Linked DNA regions of Stegostoma tigrinum. The protein of the gene in region 1 interacts with the protein of each later gene in a pairwise test. Links are inferred from orthologs where the notes say so. Each region holds a gene or a part of one and is shown in the gene's direction. Other genes may lie near its edges.

The links. The genes of interacting proteins can lie anywhere in the genome.
Region 2: the proteins of fam161a (region 1) and ccdc57 interact in binary tests that used the Homo sapiens proteins (3 or more experiments, as listed by UniProt). The two-hybrid records come from large-scale screens. The link is inferred for Stegostoma tigrinum from reciprocal best matches to the Homo sapiens genes FAM161A and CCDC57.

What each region holds. Positions count from the first base shown.
Region 1 is NC_081362.1:40,580,730-40,588,397, forward strand, and holds the start of fam161a (protein FAM161A), read left to right. Parts: upstream 1-4,649; 5' UTR 4,650-5,159; coding exon 5,160-5,306; intron 5,307-5,354; exon of another isoform or gene 5,355-5,462; coding exon of another isoform or gene 5,463-5,477; intron 5,478-7,668. UniProt on the Homo sapiens protein: Involved in ciliogenesis.
Region 2 is NC_081375.1:27,668,026-27,675,039, reverse strand, and holds the start of ccdc57 (coiled-coil domain-containing protein 57), read left to right. Parts: upstream 1-4,000; 5' UTR 4,001-4,041; intron 4,042-5,220; exon of another isoform or gene 5,221-5,634; intron 5,635-7,014. UniProt on the Homo sapiens protein: Pleiotropic regulator of centriole duplication, mitosis, and ciliogenesis. Critical interface between centrosome and microtubule-mediated cellular processes. Centriole duplication protein required for recruitment of CEP63, CEP152, and PLK4 to the centrosome.

The sequences.
Region 1 (7,668 bases):
CACCTGGACATTGGCCAACAACTGCAGTGAAGTATGAGTGCGTGCATCTCAACAACAACTCTTGTGAGGCACTGTGGACCAAGCTCTGTCCAACACTGAGCTGCAGTTCTCACTACACAAGCAGCACGGATAATGTAGTCAAAACAGTGTGCATGGAGGAAGTCACTGAATCAAGAAACTTGTGTGGAGAGAGGAACAGTTCCTATCTACAATCTGGTCTAACTCTTGTTCAAAACTGAAGATGCTGGAAAATGCTGCTTTTTATGTTGTAAACAGAAGGGGAGTAAGAATGAAGGGAACAGGTGATGAGGATGCAAACCCAAAGGCAAAGGCCAAAGGAGCGATTGAAATGTCAAATGGGTGTTAATGAAGGCATGAAATGGAGAAAATGTCTGCATTGCTCTGAGCAAAGTCAACAAACACAGCCATATGGGCAAATTGAAGAGAACTGGAGAAAGCAAAACACGGCAGGATTTAGGTAGTTAATAGGGCCCTGGGGAATATTGTCAAAACAGAGGTTTAGGCACTCAGTTCCTTGAAAGTGGAGTTGCAGGTAGATGGGATAGTGAGGAAGACATTTGGCACACTTGCCTCCTGTGGTCAAAACATTCCCCGGGGTCCAATCATTAACATATATGTCTGCCCAGGTTTGCCTTACGAGCTTGTAGCAACTCATATTAGGAGAACTGTTATCATGGTATGCCACACTCATCCTAAGACCTGCTTATCCACATATAGACTAAAAAAGTCAGATGGGCAAAGGTAACTAAATAAAAATTTCAGAGAATGCTTTCAGGATAGTTTCTTAGAACAGCATATTCTGGAGCCAACTGGACAGCAGTCTGTGATTTGCAAATGTGCCCTCGCCATAAGTTACAGTGACTTCTGCAATTAAAAGGTATAAATATTAATTTTGCTATTAATTTGACAGCACAATTTGACCACTATCATCACGTGGACCTTAGATTCACAGAGAAAAGTGAAACTTCTATTGTTGTGCCCCAACATTGTCTTTATCCCTACAATACCAAAGTTGTACATCCATATTGATGTAAACTTTGGCTGTGCTGCAAAAAAATGGGGAGCATTTCCTGCACATATGCAGTTGCAGTCTCAGTTGTGTTGGAGGGGTAAAAGATGAAATATGAGAGAAGTTTTTTTTAAGATATCTATAAAGAAAGGGAGGCATGAGTGGACATTGAACCACTGGAAAATGAGGATTGAGAAGTTGTAAAGGGGAACAAAGAAGTGGTGGAGGACTTGAATAGGTACTTTGCATCAGTTTTCACAGAGGAAGACATCAACAACATACCAGAACTTCGACAGTTGGGAAGAGAGGTGACTGTAGTTCCCATCACTAGGGAGAAGGTACTTGGGAAGCTGAAAAGACTGAAGTTGGATAAATCACCCAGATCACATGAACTACATCTCAGGGTTCTGAAGGAGATTCTTTTGTTATGTGTTTTGAAAGAAATAAGTGAGGAGATTGTAGTGGCATTAGTGGTGATCTTTCAGGAATCGCTAGAGTTGGGAAGGGTTCCAGAACACTTTAATACAACACCTCTGTTTAAGAAGGGAGGAAAGCAGAATACAGGAAACTATGGGTCAGTTAACCAGATCTCGGTGATTGGTAAGATTTTACAATCCATCATTAAGGATGAGATTGCAGAGTACTTGGAAGTGTATGGTCAAATAGGGCAGAGTCAGCATGGCTTCATCAAGAGGAGGTCATGTCTAATAAATTTGTTAGAACTCTTGAGGCAGTAACATGCAAGTTAGGCAAAGGAGAGCCAGTAGACATGATCCAGTTGAATTTCCAGAAGGCCTAGGGCAAGGGACTGGCATGGATAGAGGACTGGCTGACTGGCAGAAGGCAGAGAGTAGAGATGAAGGGCTTTTTTCAGCATGGCAGCTGGTGACTAGTGAGGTTCTGCTGGTTCAGTATTGGGACCACAATTATTCACATTAAACATTCATGATCTAGACAAAGGAACCGAGGGTATCGTTGCTAAGTTTGCAGATGACACGAAGATAAGTGGAGGGACAAATAAGTGTTGAGGAAATGGAGTGGCCGCAGAAAGACTTAGACACGCTAGCCAAGTGGGAAAAGAACAATGTGGTAAAGTGTGAGGTTGTATATTTTCACAGGAAGAATAGAGGCGTAGACTATTTTCAAAGTGGGGAAAGGCTTTGGAAATGTAAAGCACAAAGGGACTTGGGAGTCCTCGTTCAGGATTCTCTTAAGGTTAACATGCAATTCATCTGGTTCACTAATGTCCTCTAGGGAAGGAAACTGCCATCCTTCCCTGGTCTGGCCTACATGTGACTCCAGACCCATAGCAGTGTGGTTAACTCTCAACTGCCCTCTGGGCGCTTAGGGATGGATGATAAATGCTGCCTAGTCAGCGACGCCCTCATCCCATTAATAAAACAAAGAAAATAAAAATCTGGTGGTTATGAAGGCAAATACGACATTGGCATTCATTTCAAGAGGACTAGAAAAGAAGAACACAGATGTACAGCTGAGGCTGTATCAGGTTCTGGTCAAATTGTATTTAGAATATTGAGAGTTTTGGGCCCCACATCTAAAGAAAGATGTGCTGGTATTGGAAGGAGTCTGAAGGAGGTTTACGAGAATGACTCTGGAGATAAACGGCTTATCATATGATACAAGGTAAAGGAATTGCAATGTGTACTCGATGGAGTTTAGATGGATGAGGGGAGAACCTGAGTAAATTTGGAGGAGTAGACCGGACATAGAGAAGACGTTCCATAAGCAGGGGAGACTATGACCCGAAAAGGTAGCCTCAGGGTGAAAGGACAGCCTTTTAGAACCAAGGTGAGTAGGAATTTCATCAGCCTGAAGGTGGCGACTCTGTGGAACACGTCGCCACAGTCAGCAGTGCAGGCCAAGTGACTGTGTGCCTTTAAGATATAGATAGTTTCTTGATTAGTAAGAGGATCAATTCAGGAGAAAGGGGTTGAGAAACAGATCAGCCATTATCAAATGGTAAAGCAGACTCAATGGGCTGAATAGCTGAGTTCTGCTCCAATATCTTATGGACAGAGTGTTGAATTAAATTGAATACTCTTTTTCAAGATGGTGGCAATAGCAGGAAGAGAAGTGTTTGGGCTCTGTGTCCATACACTCCCATTCCCATTCACCTGGCTGGCTGTATTCTTTTTTTGTTTCTTCATTTCTCTTTTTTTACTCAAAGTTCACTTGTTTACTGTGGATGTGGTGAAATACGGCGGTAGCAAGAGCCTGCTGCTGCAACTGCAGCATGGTGAATCCGGATGACCGTTCCTTGTGGCCATTGCTATATCAAAGGCATCATTGTTGATGGATCTGGTCCATTAATCCTGGTGGCAGTGGCTATCGTCGTGGTGGCATGGTGGTTCCAGTTAATTCCTCTTGATTATGGCGGCAATGTGGTCATTTTGGGTAATCACTGAAGTGGCGATGGCTTGAGCGACAGATCCAGTGTTGGCAACTTAGTGGGTCCAGTCTGTCCCTCCTTGCTATGGCAGTGATGCAGTGTCCTCAGTGCAGGGTTCGATAGTGGCAGCATGGGGGTCGGTCTGGAAATTCTTGTTTTGGCAACTTCAGAGGTGGCTTTGGCCATGGTGTCCTATTGCCACTTCAGAAACCCAGGAGCAAAAGATAAATTTTGTCTCAATTATTTATTTTTATAATTTTTGTGATTAAAATGGCACCAAATTGTGGTGACTAATAAACATCTCACTGTACTTGCACAATTGCAAGTGATGGTAAATTGTTCTTCTCTTCTATTAGCTTAACAGATTCACCATTCAAGTTCCCATTTCACGTCTGTTCAGCCCCTAACCAACAGCAAATTCTCATATCCAGTCTACCTCTTGTTTATCAACTCTTTCCTTAGGAAAAAACAGTGCTTCTGATGAATCAGTAGATGACATCTAATCAGGAAATTTCAACAAATGAAATTCCCAACAAACATTAATCTAAGAGATCAGATAGTAATATTTAAGGACATCTTTGTATGAATGTGATCAATTAAAGTGGGTGATCAGTAAAGAATGTAATTTTTAACTCAAACCTTTTAAAATTATTAAATTAAAATTTCTTAATAAAATGTCACATACCAGACTTGTTTGAATGTTTTATTAAATCAAGATTTCAGATCTGTAATGGTAAATTAAAATTTCTTCCTTTGTTCAATTTCGGCTCCATTTTCTTTCAACAGTGTCTGCAATGAAAATCTGTCAAATTTCTGATTTTAAAATACCGATTCATATTACAATACAGATAAGTCAAAATAATTAGGTTCAGATTTTTGCCTTAGCAGAGATCTGGTGAAAATAGCAGAACTGCTGGATGATCTCGAATTCTGTCCTAGTACAGGCTTCGTCGGAGGCTCACTGATGATGTTACCTAGAATGGTGACGAAACGTCTGAAAACGAACCTTCCAGCTCAGCGAGCAAACTCACATCCAGAACCTCAACCTGAGCTACAAATCTTCTCAAACTCGCTAGGGGTAAATTGGGTTAGTGGCCGTTTAAATCAGCAGTAACAGGTGGGATTTTCTGAAGAAGGCTCTAGGACCGAAACGTCAGCCTTTCCTGCTCCTCTGATGCTGCTTGGTTTGCTGTGTTCATCCAGCTGTACACGTTGTTATCTCGGATACAACACTGGCTGTTTCCAACAATGTTATGGAAGTGGAAATTACCTTGGCAGTGACGCAGATATCAGCTGCTTTCTAATTACAAATACACAACGGCGGTGTTGTTTTACCTTACAGGTCAAACTGCTTGAGGCGAGGTTAAGAAGGCAGGACCTTCTTGATAATCTCAGCCCATGGGGGGGATTGAACCACCCTGTTGGCGCCACCGTGCATTGCGCCGTCCAGCTAACTCAGCTGGTATCCGTGATACCAACATCCTAATTTCACTCCAAAGTCTGCTGTCATTTTTAAAAATATATCAATTAACACAAATATTGATAGGTTCGCCATCGTTACAATCAGTTTGTGCCTTTCTCGGTAGAGGAAGGTAAAAGAGAATTGGAATAATCGCGCTCCAAAAACGAACGATTTTGACCCTGCGGGCTCCCCGTAATGTTAATCCCCCTCCCGTGGATTGACCGTTGCTGTAAGGGTTGCGGCGAAGTCTCGACGAGATGCAGAATCCCCACCAGTTCTCGGTTCTCATTACCTCCTGCATCAAAACCCCCGTAAATCCGAAGACCAGGATACCCTCTACTCTGTACGAGAGAAGGAAAGCGCCGACTTTACGAAACAGCCAGAAACCATCTGTCGCCGAGGAGGTGAGGGCCTTGCGGTTGTTGTGTGTTTTGCGGGGGGAGGCGTTTACGTCACTGATTCATGGCGGCCACGTTGTCAATGGTAACGAGGTCGGCTGCTCGAGCTGAGCTTTGGGTCCAGGGTTTGCGGTAATGTTTTTCTGAAAAAAATACTCAAGAATGAACACTGTTCAAGTTAGTGTGAATATTCTAGCCGCTTGTGTCTTGGAGCAATTTTTTTTTCTTAATATTTGGATTGATTATGCCCCGGCAACAAAAGTATTCGCTTTCGTCCCCCTTTCTTTCAAAGGCAGCACTCATATTCTATCGCCGCAGTTTTATTTGTAGAATCTGGCAGTTGGTTTTTCTCCCACTAATTTTAGACGATCGGAATCAAGTGTAAACTATTCGAAATGGTCAGGGTTTGATCGAATATGTGATTAGGGATTTCCATGATGATTATTGTGTTTATTGAATATGGCATTTCTTGGTAATAAATATCGTGTATTTTATGTAATTTTGCTCAGTGGATCAGGAGCTGAAGTCATAGAGTTGTACAGCACGGAGACAGACCGTTCAGTCTAACTCGTCTATGCTGACCAGATATCCTAAATTTATCTACTCCCATTTGCCAGCATTGGGCCCATGCCTATCTAAACCCTTTCTATTCATGTACTCACCCAGATTCCTTTTAAATTTTGTAATTGTCATTACTGATGATATTGCACCATGTCAGAGAGGGTAAATTTACCAGGGTTTGGCTCCAGGAGTTGTCTCTCACTTATAGTTAGGTCGTTCAAATTTAGTCTGTGATCAGCAATACAAGAGTGTGATTTTAGGTGAGGCAGGTATGGGGAAACAAGAGATAATGGGAACTGCAGATGCTGGAGAATCCAAGATAACAAAGTGTGAAGCTAGATGAACACAGCAGACCAAGCCTTCATCAGAGGATCTAGGCCCGAAATGTCAGCTTTTGTGCTCCTGAGATGTTGCTTGGCCTGCTGTGTCCATCCAGCTTCACACTTTGTTATTATGGGGAAGCAAGATACAGCTTTTAAGGAGCTTCAGTTCATGCAATTCTCCAACAGTTATAAGGTCTTTGAAATCAGCTTGAACCAGAGTGGAAACTGCAGGAAGGATGAGCAAACTAATAACAACATTGTGGTGCAGGGAGCCATTAATGTGGGTGAAGGAAATTGAAATGGAAATACAGGAGCAGTGGGAAACAGTACAGTTATGGGATAGATGCTGTTCTTCTTAGCTTGAGTCCCAAAGGCTGTATTGCCTGCCTGGTGCCAGGGTTAAGGACTTCTTTAGGCTGGAGAGGAATTTGGAATGGGAGGGGAGGGATCCAGTTCTCACTGTGCAATGTTGGTAACAAAAATATTGAAAAAACTGGAAAGGAGTTCTGCTGAATTATCTTCTGATATTGAACAGTTAGGAGCTAAACTAGAAATAAGAAATTCAAGATTCTGAGCCATAGCAAACTGACATAGGGTTAATAAAGTCAGAGTTAAATGCATTTCTTAAAGATTGGTGTTGGAAGAGTGCGTTTCAGCTCATGGGGCACTAGCACCAGTTTTGGAACAGAAAGAAAACGCCTTGTTGGAGAAACGCAGCAGGTCCAGTACCATCGGTAGAAGGAGAAATAAAATTAATGTTTTAGGTGTGTTATTAATTTCTCCAGTATTGAAAGGAGCTAAGAATGTTTTTTTAATGCTGTGGACTGACAGGGAGGAGGAACAAGCAGAACAGATTGTGAAGGCACCCTGTGCAAAAGTTGAAGGCAGTGATAATGATAGTAAATGAATATAAGTAAGTAATATGGATTTAAATGACAGCTGGTACAGTGACAATACAGTATGGAGCTGGAGGAACCCAGCAAGCCAGGCAGAAGAGCAAGAAAGTTGACGTTTCGGGCCGGGAGCCGCCTTCAGAAATGGGGAGGGTGAAGGGAGCTCAGAAATAGAGAGAGGAGGTGTGGGGCTGGGGAAGATAGGTGGGATAGTGATAGGTGAGTGCAGGTAGGGGTAGTGGGGATTGGTCAGTGGGAGGGGAGGGGCAGATAGGTGGGAGAGAAGATGGGCAGGTTGTGTCAAGTCAAGGAGGCAGGGGAGGGTTGGACATGGGATGACGTTGGGGTGGGGAAATTTTAAAACTGGTGAATTCCATGTTTAGGCCTCCGGGCTGTAGGCTACCGAGGCAGAATATGAGGTGCTGCTCCTCCAGTTTGCGGGTGGTCTCATTGTGACGCTGCAGAAGGCCCAGGATGGACATGTCACCAAGGGAGTGGGAGGGGGAGTTAAAATTGTTGGCAGCCAGAAGGTTGTGTATAGAGCACAGATGCTGTACAAAATGGTCTCAGAGCTGACGCTTAGTCTCCCTG
Region 2 (7,014 bases), on another chromosome or scaffold:
ATTGACAGTCTTTGGCGTATTCTTCTCCTGTGCCAGTCATATGCTTTGAGATTATCTACACACGGTGTCTACTTCAATATCAGAAATTATAAACCTATTCAGCCTTGATTACTTGAGAGATCTTAATCTCAATTCAGTGACACCTTTGCAGAAGTTCCCGGGGTAATGTCCTAGCTCTAAACAGCCTCATCAATGACTGAAGGTTCTGAGTCCTAATGCAGCCAGACCTGGACAAAATCGTGGCTTAGGCTAATAACAGGCAAGTAACATTTATGCCACACAAATGCATGGCAATGACAATTTCCAACAAGAGAGAATGTAACCATCACCTTTCTGATTACATCTTTCAGGTGTTATGAAAAACAGGAGGTTGGCCCCCACAATTGGGCTTTGTTGGACTCATTTTACTTTCATGAAATGAGAACAATGAGATTTTATACCCAGCAGCTTGCCAATTAAGTAATTAATACCATCTCCCAGGCTGTTAGCTAAAACCTTCATATTCTTCTTTTTCAGATTAATCAATTCCTTATTGAATGCATCACTTACACCTGCCTTCAACATACTTTCGGGCTGTAAATTCCACCTCTTAGCCATTTGCTGTGTGGACCATAAAACCTCAGAGCAGAAGTACACCATTGAACCCATCAAGTCCACTTTACATTCAATGAGATTGCTTTTGATTTGACAATCCTCAACTCTACTTTCCTGTTTTTTTCCCTATAAGCTTTGATTCAGTTTCTATTAAAAATCTATCTCAGCCTGAATATACTTAATGAACCAACTTCAACAGCCCTTTGTGGTAAAGAATTCCACAGATTCACTCTGTTCTGAGGCAAGAAATTCCTCCTCATCAAATTTTTTTTGTTTCTTTTTGTCTTCTATTGCTTCTTTTGTCACATACTTTAGGCCTGTATGCTCTTGATTGTACTCTGCTTCCATGTGTAGCCACAGTTTTTCCTCTCTACTCTGTCCAGATCCCTCTTGATTTTATACACTTCTACCAAATCTGCTGTCAACTTTCCTTTCTCAAAGGAAAACAGTCCCAACATCTCCAATCTTATTAATAACCGAAGTTCCACATTCCCAGTACCATTCATGTGAATCTTTGTTGCAATCTCTCTCACAGTGCTGAAGTTGAAGCTGAACCAGTATTTTATACAAGTTTAACATAACATCCTTTATACTCCTGCCACCATTAATAAAGTTTAGGATGCCAGTTATTTTATTAACTACCCTTTCAACCTGTCTTGCCTGCTTCAATTAATTATATACGGATATACCCTGTTTTTTCTATTCTTGCATCCTGTTCAAAATTTTGCCTTTTATTTTGTAGTGTCTTTCTGTGTTCTTCCTACCAAAATGAATCACTGATACTTACAGAATTGAATTCATCCATAATTTGTCCACCTATTCCACCAACTTGTCTATGTCCTCTTGAAATTCTATACTATTCTCCTTACATCACACAATACTTCTGCAAATTCTAACGCAACACCCTGTACACCAAGGTCTTTAATATATTCAGGGCAATTAACAGTGTAGCTGGACAATGAGCTGGGTCTTTGTCCCTGCATTCTCCAATCTTTCTGCTTTATTTTGTCAGTTTATAAAAAGTGCCTGTTCTCCCTAACTGTCTGCACTAGTCATTTACTATTAATTTTCAAAGTCCATTGTTAGTGATTCAATTTAAATGACATTTATACCAAGTAAAAAAATCTAAGTAATTTTAATAAAAAGCCAGTTCATTATTCTAATAGTAAAAGGGAAATTCTTAACTTGATTCCCATTTCCTACAATTTTGTTCTGTTCTCTCAAAGCCATTGAATTATGTTGAGGTGAAGTCTAAGTCACATAGTCCCAGGGGACCATAGGCTGTTCTCTCATAATAGAGAGGTGACTGGTGTTTTAATTTAACCTGAGGGTCAACAGGCTGCAGGCGAGGTTGCAAAGTTGGGGCCTGCATGATGACCTCAGGTGGAATGGGAATTGCTTCCATGGGTTGGTCTCCCTGCACCACGAACAAGGCTGCTCTTGAGTATTCTGCAAATGTACTCTTCATGTATGAGTCAAGGTTGCGAGCTTTGGCAGTCAACATGATCAGAGGGAGATCTTCCAGCTGAAGTCAATCTTGTCTTCATTCAATATCCAAATATGTATTTATTCCTACATGGAATACAAGTTAGTGAACAAGGTCTGGCAACAGTGTTTTCCCACTCACTATTTCAGAGATATTGAATCTTTCAGTGTCACTTTTACTGTTGTCTTACTTGAGATCAACCAATCCACCTGGGGAGAAAAGGGATCTCCCAGTGTGTGGTTTAAACACACATTTTGTTTGTAAGGGGCTGGCATCCTTGAAGCTGTTTTAATTTGGGGTATTTGATTAACTGATTTTAAAACAGCTACACATCTCCTTTACAAAGTGAGTTGAGAAAACCTTTTTTCAAATAATAAAAAGAACTGATGCTAGAAATCCTAGACAGACATAGAAATAGCTGGAGAAACTCAGCAGGTCTTACAACATCTGTGGAGAGAAAGCAGAGCCAATATTTTGGGTCCAGTTATGAAGAAGGGTTACTGGACCTGAAATGTTAACTCTGTTTCCATCTCCATCGATGTTGCCAGACCTGCTGAGTTTGTCCACTTATTTCTGTTTTTGTTTCAAACTCTTTTTTTTGTTACATGCAAATTGAGTAACAAAAGTGGCGTTACCTACAAAGAAGCAAAATTCATGTAATAATGAATCCATCCAATTGATGAAGAAAAAGGTAACTTTCATTATGATGCCTTTCACAACATCAGGATGTCCTGTATGGTGAGGCATTAAATATGCCATAAATGTGTTGTGACAAATATGGCAGTCATTTTTGTGCCACCAAATAAAGTCCAACAAACAGCAATGAGATGACGACTAGATTTTTTTGAACAACATTGGCCAGGTAAACTCCAATGTCTCCTTGCAACAGCAACTTCTACATCCACTGAAAGGGAGACGAAAGACATCATCAGCAACCTTCTAATTCGAAGATCCGAAAGCTGCTACAATGATTTCTCTTTTACTTTTTCCCCTGTCCTTTGTTTTTAAAATGACGTTGTCCCACAACTTGGATTTCACCTCCTCGGGACCTGGTCCATTGTTGTAACTGCGATGATTTGCAAAAGCAGAATTCTACAGGTGCCAGAAGACAAAGAAAAAAGAACAGAAAGCGCTACATGTACCTAGCAGGCCAGGCTGCATCTATGGGCAGAGAAACAAGATTTAACGTTTTGGGTCGGTGGCCTTTCAACCGAACTCGAATTATGCAAATTATCTAGCAGTATGAGTAGAGGATTGCAGCAAGAACTGCTATCGTTTACGCCCTTTCCTTTCATGACACACTTGTCGTTTTGTCAATATTAATCATATCATGAGAACTTTTTTTCTTGTCTTTGCATTTCTCTGAAGGAGCTTTTTTTAAAAATCCTTTCACTTTTTACCACAACGTTTAGTTTGTCTCTTTGTGCTTTCGCTCGGTCTTTTCCTTTGTTTCTTTGTTAAATTTCAAGAATTAAATTTGCTTTGCTCGTTCTTCCCTTTCTGCTTGTTTGCTTATTCATTCTGACTTCACGCGACTTTCCTAGTTTGTGTAACAGGAATGTCGTTGTAATTTATTGCGGGCGTTGTAGAAAAAGTACATGGAAGGAAATACCCAGTGCCTATAAATGAGTTGTGTATTCCTTTTATAGTAAAATACATCTCACTGCGCTGTGAATCAGCAGTCTTCCATTTCCCTTTCCACCACGCAAGAACGTACGATAATTTATCAAGAAAGACTCGATAAAACTGGATACTTTATTATTCCAGTCAGAGCCTTTTTTCCTACTTGTAAATTGTGAAATGAACTGAAACCTGAACGCACACGACGAGGTTTAGAAAACATATTCATCTCAGCGAAGCTCTGATGAAATTTTACGGAACCAAAGCATTGACTGTTTTCCTCACTAACGCTGCCTATCCCGCTGAGTGTTGCCAAACATCTTCTGTTTGAAGTACGAAAGGTTAGATGATGGATGGTCGTTCATGAGCACTTTTAAAATAAATGCTGAGGGACGTGCCTTTATTGTCGGGGGTGGGGGTAACTTGAACCTTTTTGACACGTGTATTCACAGTGAAAGAAATGACATCCCAGTTCTGTGAGAGAGTATTCTGTTGCAGACCTAAACGGAGAAGAACATGCAAAAGAGCTGATGCTTGCAGTTTCTCACGCATTTTCCGCTGTTTTTGGAAATGATCACTTACTGGCAAAGGGTTCATTGTTGGGAAATCTGGACCCAAAACAGAAAACGTGTGAATGCGTAAAGTGCTTTTTCATCAATGAGCAAGTCTTTGTGTATTTTTTTTAAAAATTGGATCTTTAGCATATCCTTGTTGTTACAGAGATTGGAGTCACATTGTGGATACGTGCAGACCAGCAGCTCTCTAAACAATTCAATACAAACAGCCTGAACATTAGCGAAGAGAGAGAGAGAGGGAGGTCTGTAAGTGTAGCCTCACTCCACTCCTCCTCTCCGCCTCCAAAATGATGGGGATAGGTCAAAGTGTTAAAATTCAGCTCCCTGTCTTATCTAATTAGGAATTATAGGCCATAAGACTATAAGCACAATTAGGCCTTTCGGCCCATCGAGTTTACTCCATCATCAAATCATGGCTGATACATTTCTCAAACCCATTCTCCTGCCTTCTCCACGTAATCTTTGATCCCCTTACCAATCAAGAAACTACTTATCTCCTGCGTATATTTTAAGAATCAACCACCAAAACAAAAGACCCAATAATCCAGTACAACTCAGTTTTTGATTTTTATATCAACCTGTTTAAGCGTTTCTTTACAACTTGAATCTAGGTCTAATGGCCCAGTGGCAAAGACGCTTAGCACTGTGCTACTGCCTTTTTCAAATATTTGTCTAATTAACCTTTAATAGAAGATCCTTTCGTAAAACCTTTGGGCTAATCGATATAAAATTAAAATACATTTCAACTGAGAGAATCATTATGGATGATAATCACTGAGACGACTAAGAAGAAGGATGAATTCTCTCAGCACTCTTGCTACTTATTTTCAACATGTATTGTGTTTAGTTGATTTATTTGAACAAAATATACATCTTACAAAGAAAACGGAACCATTGTTGATGGCACAAATACTCCACGCGTTCGGGGGACCCCGGAATGGATTTTTGACAGAAGCACCGCCGCGCGTCACCGTGGCAACGGGAAATTAGAGGCCTATTTGAACGGGCTTTGAATCGTTTTGTGACCAAAGAGACGAACTGAAGCATAATTGTGGAGTTACAGTGGCGGTTGGAGTGGGCGAGAGAGATGAGATTGGAGAGCGAGCTCAGAGATAAAGTCAGGTTTTTGAGGAGCTCGACATGATGCCGTTTCTGAACAAACTGATATGAAATCAAGGTTGCAAACTGTTTGATTAAGCATCATACAGTTCTCATGCAGAAAGTTGGTGTTGATCAGATTGTAACTGGGACTTAAAAAGCAATGAGTTCAGTCTTCGGACTATTGTTTGGCGAAAATCAATGCTGATCAAGAGCACTGGCTAGAGTTTATGCTACTTCCTGCTGTCTATCGGCATCTGGGTAAGGAAACCATTTCAGTTTAGGTGTGATGCATACTGTGAGGCTAACACTACGTCAACTTAGGGCTCGCAAAAATAATCATAAATTTGGAAAGATAACATTTGGTACTTACCTGCTGCCTGAGTCATTATTCCTAGTAATGAATCAAGAGCATTGATGAGGAGGATACCAGGGGTGGGAACCAGTAATAGCAGTAGTAATAATAAAAAAGAGGGGAAGAAGTGGTAAACTGAAGATTTGGCTGTTGGTAGAAGGAATTTAAAATATATTAATTAGATTGCATACGTAAAATATGTATTTAAATTCAAAAGTTGAAATGTACGTTTTAGATTATTTTTCTTACCATCAGTGTGAAGATGAGGGTTCTACTTCCAGTGAGTCTATTTAAATGGACACAGACCTCAATGGAAGAATCAAAGTAGCAAGAATAACAATGGATAGAAGAAGGCATAACAGTGTTCTGGTTCCATGACTGTTGGTGTTTATAAGCACTTAAAGTGAGGCAACTTCAACACAGGATCAAGATAACATAAAGTTGCGCACAGGGTTTCATAATGACAGTTCGAACTTGCCCATACGTACAACTGAGAAAGTCCTTGTATCGTAGTTTCTGTAGCATTAGTTAAACTCACCAGTGTGGCAATGGGAAAGTTGACATAGTCAGGTTTAAAGAGGGAAGACACATCTAGGATTCTACATTGAGTGAATCTGACGGAAATATATGATTTGGCATCAATTTCCAAAATATCTATCTTTCTAAATTGCAATTATGATGCCATCATTATGGTTAATGCCTGTCTGTGAATGCTATACTACGCTATCATTTACTTTTCAGACTTAGTTGCAGTGAACTGTGGGCCCTGTTGCCATGCATTAAATAGGATGGAAATTTTAACTGGAGAAATTTGGTTCAAGTTTGTAATCTTCCACAGTCTTCTAGATTCTGGACAGGCCCAGGCATTGGAATACTACAGATATACTGTTTGTATTAAACAGGGGAGGAAAATTAAAAACACAAAACTATAGACCAATTTGTTTAACATCTAGTTCTGAGGAAGAGTCACTGGACCTGAAATGCAAACTCTGATTTCTCTCCACAGATGCTGCCCGAACTGCTGAGCTTTTCCAACAATTTCTGCTTTTGTGTCTAACATCTGTGATTGGAAAAATTTTGAAGTCTCTTGTTAAGGAAGTTACAGCATGATATTTACAATATCATAATATAAATGAGCAGAGTCAATATGGTTTTATAAAAGGAAAATCATGTTTGACAAATATTTTAAGAGTTCTGTGAGGATATGACAATTGACATGGCCAAAGGGGAACCTGTAGTGTATTTCTACTTACAAAAGGCATTTGATAAGATATCACAGAAGTTTA